Cricetulus griseus: one gene and its partner. The protein of the gene in region 1 interacts with the protein of each later gene in a pairwise test. Links are inferred from orthologs where the notes say so. Each region holds a gene or a part of one and is shown on either strand. Other genes may lie near its edges. The genes, in order: Plaa and Ubxn1.

Region 1 (3,813 bases):
AGAAATTAGAATGTCTGACGAAAGAAGCGACACAATTTCATTTATGGAATGAATATTCTGTGTTTAGGAGATGAGGGAAATATTGGAGGATTGAGGTTGGAGGTATAGCACGAATGGTAGGTATGATGGGGCTTACCTGTGGCTAAAATTCAAACTTGGTCCTTTTAGTGCTTAGGGTTAAAAGATTGTATCTCTAGAGCAAGACATGATCAGATTTAAGTGGAATTTATGAATTACGGAAAGGAAAGCAAACTAGAAATGAATTGTACTAGGAGTATGTGGTTATAAAACACTGACAGTACTAATGAATTCATTCATGAGAAAATTCAGAGGAAAAGCATAAAGCTTCAAAAGTATAGTGTGTGGTAATCCCCATTAATAAAAATAGAAAAATGTGAGAATTAATTTAGTTCATAAAGAATACTTGCCTTTAATCCCAGCCCTCGGGAGGCAGAGGCAGGCAGATTTCTGTGAGTTTGAGACTAGCCTGGTCTACGAGAGCTAATTCCAGGACAGCCTCCAAAGCCACAGAGAAACCCTGTCTCAAAAAACAAAACAAAAAGGTAATACTTTGGTTTAAGGCTTGTTGAATCTGAGTAATGCCTTGCCACACTGCAGGTAGGTCCTAAGTAGCCAGATTGAATTCTATTGTAAGTACTGGGCCTAAAATATATATACAAAACTGTCCCTGAGTGAGGAAATATAGAGGAGGGACAGAAGACTAACAGTGAATCCTGTGAAGTACTCTGGATATGGGAAGGTCAGTAGGTTAAAAAGCACACAGGATTCCAGATGTCAGAATCCAGGGAAAAGGAAGAGGTTTTGGAGGGAGCTTAGCATCAGTGTCCTAAGTTCGTAAGAGGTTGAAGAACAGAAAGGTAGAAAAGCATTTGGATTCATTTTGAAAGATGGTACTACCTGTAGTTGCTGTTACATTTTAGAAGAAAATTATAGGGCAAAAAAGTAAAGGAAATGAAGGGATACTTGATAAAGGAAAAGACTGTGACTAGACAGTGAGAGCTAGAAAAAGATGGCAGCTCTGAGTGCAGAGGATTTAGTAGACCTCTTATTTTGGGTTGGGGCAGGGATTCATTTGTTGATGTAGATATAATAATAGTTCATGAAGCTTGGTAACAGTCAAAGGAAAATTTGCCAAGAAAGTGAAATTGACATCAGTAGAAAATACTACTATTTTCTATACTTTCTACTATTTCTATATTTATAGAAATAAAGTATTCTATAGAATTCAATTGAATTAATACAGTTTAAACTAGACAATGTGACTTTCCCACTTTATTCAAATTGAAAAAATGCAGTCATAAGACTAGAATATGTTCTTGAGAATATATAGGTTGAGTACTACTATTTAGCCAATCATGGAGCTGAATTTTTCTTTGAGATTATTTGAGTATATTGAACACCTGCTATATGATAAGCCTAGGCTGGGTCTTTGAGCATTTTTAAAGTTAACTGTCCCAGTAACCCTTTTGGGGGGGGGCTGTTTGTTTTTTGTTATTTTGGTGTGTGTGTGTTGTTGTTGTTTAGTTTTGTTTTTGTTGGGAAAATCACACATTCAAGGTTGGCCTTGGCTATGTACAAATACCTGCCTCAGTGGTAGAACACCAGCCTAATAGAAACAAGGTTCTGGTGGGTTCAGTCACTGGCATTTTTTTAAAAAAATTAAAAATTGTATTTAAATGTATGTCTCCTTTGCCAGAAATTTCTTTAAATAGCGGAAATAATACTGTATGTTATAGTCAGCATACTTCTTCACAATAAGCAGTGATGTTTTTCATATTTGTGCATACAGATAATGTTTGCTTTATTTACAAGAGGGAATGTTAATAAATGGATCAGTGACTTAAACTAGTTTGCTTTTCTTGTAGTGATGGTATCATTAGAGTGTTTACAGAGTCGCAGGATCGGACAGCAAGTGTCGAGGAAATCAAGGCTTTTGAGAGAGAGCTCTCTCAGGCAACTATCGATTCCAAAACTGGTGACTTAGGGGACATTAATGCTGAGCAGCTTCCTGGGAGGGAACATCTGAATGAACCAGGTAACTATTAGAGTAATTGTAGTTCAGGTGGTGGTGGTGCACGCCTTTAATCTGGAAGGCAGAGGCAGGCAGATTTCTGTGAGTTTAAGGCTGGCCTGGCCTACAGAGTGAGTTCCAGGACAGCCAAGGTGACACAGAGAAACCCTGTCTCAGGGGAACCACACTTGCCATTTGGAATACCAAGAGTAATAAGGGAAAATGTTTTGTTAATGTTTCTTTTGTTCTCAATGCCAGATACTGAGACTTGAGGGTTTTTACTGTCACACATAACTGATAAGAGAAGCCATGTTCTTTTTGCACATTTTACTATTTGAACTTGGAAGCATCCACAAAAAATACGTTAAAATTTGTCGTAAGTGCTTTTGGATTTTACTCTGCTAGTCAGTCTTTGATTCTTAAAATGTTTGTTTTAAGGTACTAGAGAAGGACAGACTCGTCTAATCCGAGATGGAGAGAGAGTTGAAGCCTATCAGTGGAGTGTTAGTGACGGGAGGTGGATAAAAATTGGAGATGTTGTTGGCTCATCTGGTGCTAATCAGCAAACATCTGGAAAAGTTTTATATGAAGGGAAAGTATGTCTACTGCTTTCTAATTATTATTTTAAACTATACAGAAACTTAGTTTTCTCTGGTATTTTGACATTTAGAAGTACATTATTGTAAGAAAATTATCTTCTGTCTTAAAGTAGATTTAATATATACAGATAGATAGATAGATAGATAGATAGATAGATAGATAGATAGATAGATAGATATGGCTGGAGAGATGTCTCAGAGGTTGAGAGCGCTGACTGCTCTTACAGAGGTCCTGAGTTCAATTCCTAGCAACCACATGGTGGCTCACAACCATCTATAGTGAGATCTGGTGCCCTCTTCTGTCCTACAGGTAGAACACTGTATACATAATAAATAAATCTTTAAAAAAATAAAATAAAATAAAATAAATATATATATGAATATTTTAAATATGTATCTATATAAAATTTTTATGTGTAGAGAAAGCTGTATATAACAAATTAGCCATTATTTATCTTTAGACTTTCTCTTACAAAAATGTTTCCAGTCAGTTTGGATTAGGAGTTTCTTTTATCTCATGCTTCATGCCTGTCTCTGTTAAACTTGGCAAGACATGAGGGACACTGTAGGGCTGTGCTTATGTGCCAGTATGTCTTGGTTAGTAGGACACCCTAAAAGCTAAAAATTTTGACCTTGAGATCAACCATTTGGGAACCTTCTTTTGAACCTAGAATTAATAAGTAGTTATAATCAGGTCCTCATCTCAGCCATCGCCTTCCCAACTACTAATGAAACACTAATTTTGTAACAAATGCACACTTTGGCTCCTTCTCTGCCAAATAGAAAGCCTTTACCATTGCATTTTGGAGAAAGTTTTAAAGTCTAAATGGTTAGAATAAAAACACATAACATCTGTGTTATTTTATATGTTTTAATGTATTTGAACAGTTAAATTATCTATCTTGTTTTCTGTTTTCATTATAGGAATTTGATTATGTTTTTTCAATTGATGTCAATGAAGGTGGACCATCATATAAATTACCATATAATGTCAGTGAGGATCCCTGGCTAGCTGCATACAACTTCTTGCAGAAGAATGATTTGAATCCCATGTTTTTGGATCAGGTGGCTAAATTTATTATTGATAACACAAAAGGTCAAACGTTGGGACTTGGGAATACCAGTTTTTCAGACCCATTTACAGGTGAGTTTGGACTTGTATTAATTCTTATGTACTAACAT
Region 2 (4,551 bases), on another chromosome or scaffold:
ATACTTATAATCACAGCATACAGAAGAAATAGGAAGGAGGACCTCCAGAAGTTTGAGGTCAGCTTCATCTTCATAGTGAACTCCAGGACAGTAGGGCTGTACAGCAAGACTCAGTCCCAAAAGTAAAAGAAAGTCTGGAATGGTGGCATATGCCACTAATTCCAGCACTCAGGCAGAAGCAGGGTATCTCTGCTTCAATAGGTGATGAAAAGGACTCCAAGCTACCTCACAATCAAGAAAAGATAAGATGGAACTATTTTTAAAAAACAGAATAGGTGCTGTATTATGAAAACAGCTGTGTAATGAGTCTAATGAAAACATTGTGAATAAATTAAAGGGTAACTGCTGAGTAAGAATGACGTATGTATTTAAATAAGACAAGCAGGTGAAATTCAATCACTCCTAAGAGTAGAGGAGATAGGATTTCAAAAGTCATGTACAAAGAAGGAAGAGATTTGGCAAATGGAACTTAAGTTGGGCTGGGCACCTTACAGGCCAACACCCAGTTCTAGGAGCAAGACAGTGCCCAGAAAACATACCTGTATGCGACACTGGTCATACTCCCGCTTGGTAGGGGGCTCCTGGCTGGGAGAAGAAGGAACAGGACCTGGATCTGTTGCTGGTGGGGATGACTGAGAACCCACACTACTACCATACTGGAAGACAAAAATAAAACGCTAGCTGAGTGGTAGCATACTAGTCTGGCATGCATATATATATATATATATATATATATATATATATATATATATATATATATATATTTCAACCTTCAGCACACAGACAAAACAAAACAAACCCACCCAGCTTCAGTGGCTCACACCTTTTATTTCCAGCACTTGGAAGGCTGAGGCAGGAAAACAACCAGAAGTCTGAGACCAGTCTGGGCTACAGAGTAAAACTGTGTCTCAAACACACAAATCATGCAAGCACATGCTATCTCTTGAGAATGGAAGAGGAAATGAACCCTCCTACACCATTACACCCACAGGCTTTCTCATCACCCACCTTCTTGGCTCTCTCTGCTTTGTCCCTTTCAATTTTTTCTCGGACCCTTTGTCTGGAATGCAGACAGGAAGAAAAGAGGTCAGAGATGGACAAGGGAAAAGATTTCCTTCTCAACGACCAACAACCGTCAACACCCAGACCTGGCAGCTAATTCTTCAGCCTTTTCTCTCCTGCGCTCCTCAGCAGCACGGCGCATCTCGTCTTCCTGTAGTTTCTGCCTTACGGCTGACAGCTCTTGCCCTTGTCTCCTCCGCTGCTTTTCTCGTTCCAAAGCTTCTCGCTCCTCTCTTTCTTCACGTTCCCGCTGCTTCTGGGCCACAAGCTCCAACATTCTGTTTTACAGAGAAGAAAGAGCTCAAATTGGATATGGAGTGGGAAGTTGAGTTTAAACAGAGAAATCTTAACAAAATAAGGGAACATGTGTTCCAAGACAGATGAAAGGAAACAAAACCAAAACAGGAATAAAAATAAGGGGGGGGGGGGCTAGGAGCTTAGCTCAGTGGTGAAGCACATACTTGGCACGCAGTGCCTTATAGTTAAAAAGGCGGGGAGGGGCAAACGAGAGCTAGATATAGTGGTGCACACCTATAATGCCAGCACTGCAAGGCAGAGGCAAGAGAATCAGCATTTCAAGGTAATCTGAAGTCACACAGGGAGTTTGAGACCAGCCTAAGCTACATCAGACTGTTTATGTTTCTTGGTGGCTGTCTTTTGTTAGTTCGGTTTTTTTTTTTTCCAGAACCTGGAAGGGTCGGGTTCTCTGATCAGACTTGTGTTTGCATTGGAGAGGAAGGAAGATGGCCCTATGACCCTTTGGAAAGTGAGTCTATAGGCTAGATATGATGGCCCACCTGTAACCCCAGCACTCAGAAGAATGTGGCTTTGAACTTGGCCTGGGATAAATACTGGATTCCAGGCCAGCCTGAAGTACACAGTTAGAACCTATCTCACAAAACAACACAGGACCTAGCGGTGAAAGCCTTTAATCCCGGCAATGAATCAGTTCTGCCTGGGCCAGAGAGGCAGGCGGGCACCAAACAAAACACACACACACAGTCAAATTGCCGGTTACCTACCTCTTAGTCTGTTCTTGCCTCTCCTCTTCAGTCAAAATGGGTTTGCTTTCTTCAGCAGCAGACCCAGATCCTACAAACAAGCAACCAGTATTATTATTTGTAACAAAAATCATTCTGTTTCCTCAGGCCCTCACAAGACGTCTAGAATCACAAGATGTCTCCCAGTCAGGACCTTCAGGGCCAACTTGCTCTGAGGACGTGGGTTCCCGTCCCAGGATATGGCCGAGGGGAGTCTCTAGAGGCTCGTCCACATCGGGGTCGTCTTCGTGCTCCATAAGCCTGGGCAGGGAAAGTGGGCAGGGGGTTAGCCTGGCGGCCGCCCTTCGCAGCGGCCCCCAAACCTCCGCCACGGGGGCCGGTCGCTCACCAGTCCATCGCAGCCTCGATGCCCTGGTTCCCTGTGAGGGCCAGAGCCTTCTCCCTGGGGGCAGAAACACGGAGAGTAGCGCCCACCAGCCATGGTGACAGTCGGGCCGGGCCGGGCCAGGCCCGCGGCCCCCCACCACGGGCCCCTGGGGGGAGGCTCCCTTACGCGCGTCCCCTGGGAAAGCCCATCTCGATGAGGCTCTCCAGAGCCGTCAGCTCCGCCATGGCGCCCGCCGCCGCTTCCGCGGGGACCTGCGGGGACGAGAAGGCAGGCGGCAAGGGTCAGCCCGGGCGACTCCGCCCGCGACGCCGCCCTCCCGGCGCTCGCTAACTCACCGGGTTGGGGACCCGGGGGCGGGGGTGGGGGACACTGACGGAGGAGTGCGGAGGGGAAGCGGAAGTGCACCGTCTGTTTGGGTCACGTGGGAGCGGGGTGGACGGGTGCCGGGAGGGCCACAACAGTTCCGCCTGGTGGGCGGGGACATCCGCCAACCGAAGCCGACTGGGAGACCCACCCACGAGGAGCTTCAGAGACTGAGAAGTGGGCTGGCTCGGCGGGTGAAAGCATCAGCCAACCTTGACTGTATCAGTCCGCCTCCCAGGACCCACGTGGTGGAGGCAGGAGGCAGGAGAAAAACAGATCTCTGCTAGTCGTCCTCTGACCTACACACGCATTCATGATAAACAATAAACAATGTATGCAATCAATTTTTTTCTCTATTTCTGTTTGCTGTTTTGTTTTTGTTTGTCGAGACAGGGTTTCCCTGCATAGCCTTAGCTATCCTGGAACTCTCTGTAGACTGAAGGGACTCTAGACAGCCCAAGCTAAAAACCGTTAGATTACATTCCTAAAGCTAGCCAACATGGTCTATTCCTTTATTTGGCTACTTCCTCCTCCTGAGGCTGACTATCAAGGTCCAGTTATCAAAAGTATTGGAGTCCATTAATCAAAAGCTCCTTGTGGCTGCCCTAATTAACATGCCCACTCAAAACAAACCAACTCATTCTAATACAGGGTTTCCCATTTTACCTTTATACACTGCTGTGACATCTGCCTCTTTTCTATCCAGAGGCAGTCCTTTGACCTCCCAAGTGCTGGGATTAAAGGGTTGTGCCACCACCTCCTGGCTTTTTTTTTTTTTCTGTTCTCCTTCCTTCCTTCCTTCCTTCCTTCCTTCCTTCCTTTCTTCCTTCCTTCCTTCCTGTCATTCTTTCTTTCCCTATGTCCTGGCCATGCTCACACTCAGACTCACAGAAATCTGTCTGCCTCTACTTCCCGAGTGTTCTGGGTTAACGGAGTGTGGTTCCACACCTGGCAGTGATGTATGTAATTTAAAAAGAAGAAATTTTGGGGGTGAAGAGATGGCTCAGTGGTTAAGGACACTGACTGTCCTTCCAGGGGACCTGGGTTCAATTCCCAGAACCCACATGGCAGCTCACAACTGTCTGTAACTCCAAGATCTGACACCCTCACACAGACATACATGCAGGTGAAAGACCCCAACTTAAGCCTAGCCTGATACCCACCAGCATGTATTTGGAAATCACTCTGTACCCCCCCCACACACACACACAGCTCTGGGACAAAAAACACATGAAATGGTCGGTCATGATGACCAGTCTCTGGAAATTGTTATTATTACTAGTTTCTATTATCTTCAACAACTGTCTGGTTTCTAAAAATTGTTATGGGTTACCCTGCTCCAGAGCACCCAAGTTTTGAAAATAAGTATAAGTCACTCTGTTCCCAGAAAAACCACTAGCCGTCCCATAGCCTTGCAGGTGTAAAAACCAAAATAACATTCCAAACCCCTCGTGGGCAAAATTGTAAGTTCAGTTCCCAACCAATTAGTAAATGACTCATGTATGTTATAGCCAATCAATATGTTGTCATACTCCTGCCTAATGACCAAAAAGACATAAAAACTGCCTGCTTTGGAAACTCGGGGCCATTCTCTTCCCAGGGAGTGACCCCAATGCGTTGGAATAAAATCCTTTTGCTTTTGCATCGAGCCTGTGTCCTGTGACTCTGTGGGGTGTGTCTCCCAGAGTTGGACTTCACTTTTGGGTCCAACACAGGCAAAACACCAATGCACCTAAA

Evidence for each region.
Region 2: the proteins of Plaa (region 1) and Ubxn1 interact in binary tests that used the Homo sapiens proteins (3 or more experiments, as listed by UniProt). The two-hybrid records come from large-scale screens. The link is inferred for Cricetulus griseus from reciprocal best matches to the Homo sapiens genes PLAA and UBXN1.

What each region holds. Positions count from the first base shown.
Region 1 is NC_048595.1:54,235,661-54,239,473, forward strand, and holds part of Plaa (phospholipase A-2-activating protein), read left to right. Parts: intron 1-1,886; coding exon 1,887-2,056; intron 2,057-2,470; coding exon 2,471-2,628; intron 2,629-3,555; coding exon 3,556-3,775; intron 3,776-3,813. UniProt on the Homo sapiens protein: Plays a role in protein ubiquitination, sorting and degradation through its association with VCP. Involved in ubiquitin-mediated membrane proteins trafficking to late endosomes in an ESCRT-dependent manner, and hence plays a role in synaptic vesicle recycling.
Region 2 is NC_048596.1:51,222,720-51,227,270, forward strand, and holds the start of Ubxn1 (UBX domain-containing protein 1), read right to left. Parts: upstream 2,862-4,551; 5' UTR 2,787-2,861; intron 2,703-2,786; 5' UTR 2,676-2,702; coding exon 2,617-2,675; intron 2,506-2,616; coding exon 2,452-2,505; intron 2,364-2,451; coding exon 2,257-2,363; intron 2,155-2,256; coding exon 2,085-2,154; intron 1,341-2,084; coding exon 1,149-1,340; intron 1,061-1,148; coding exon 1,009-1,060; intron 657-1,008; coding exon 540-656; intron 1-539.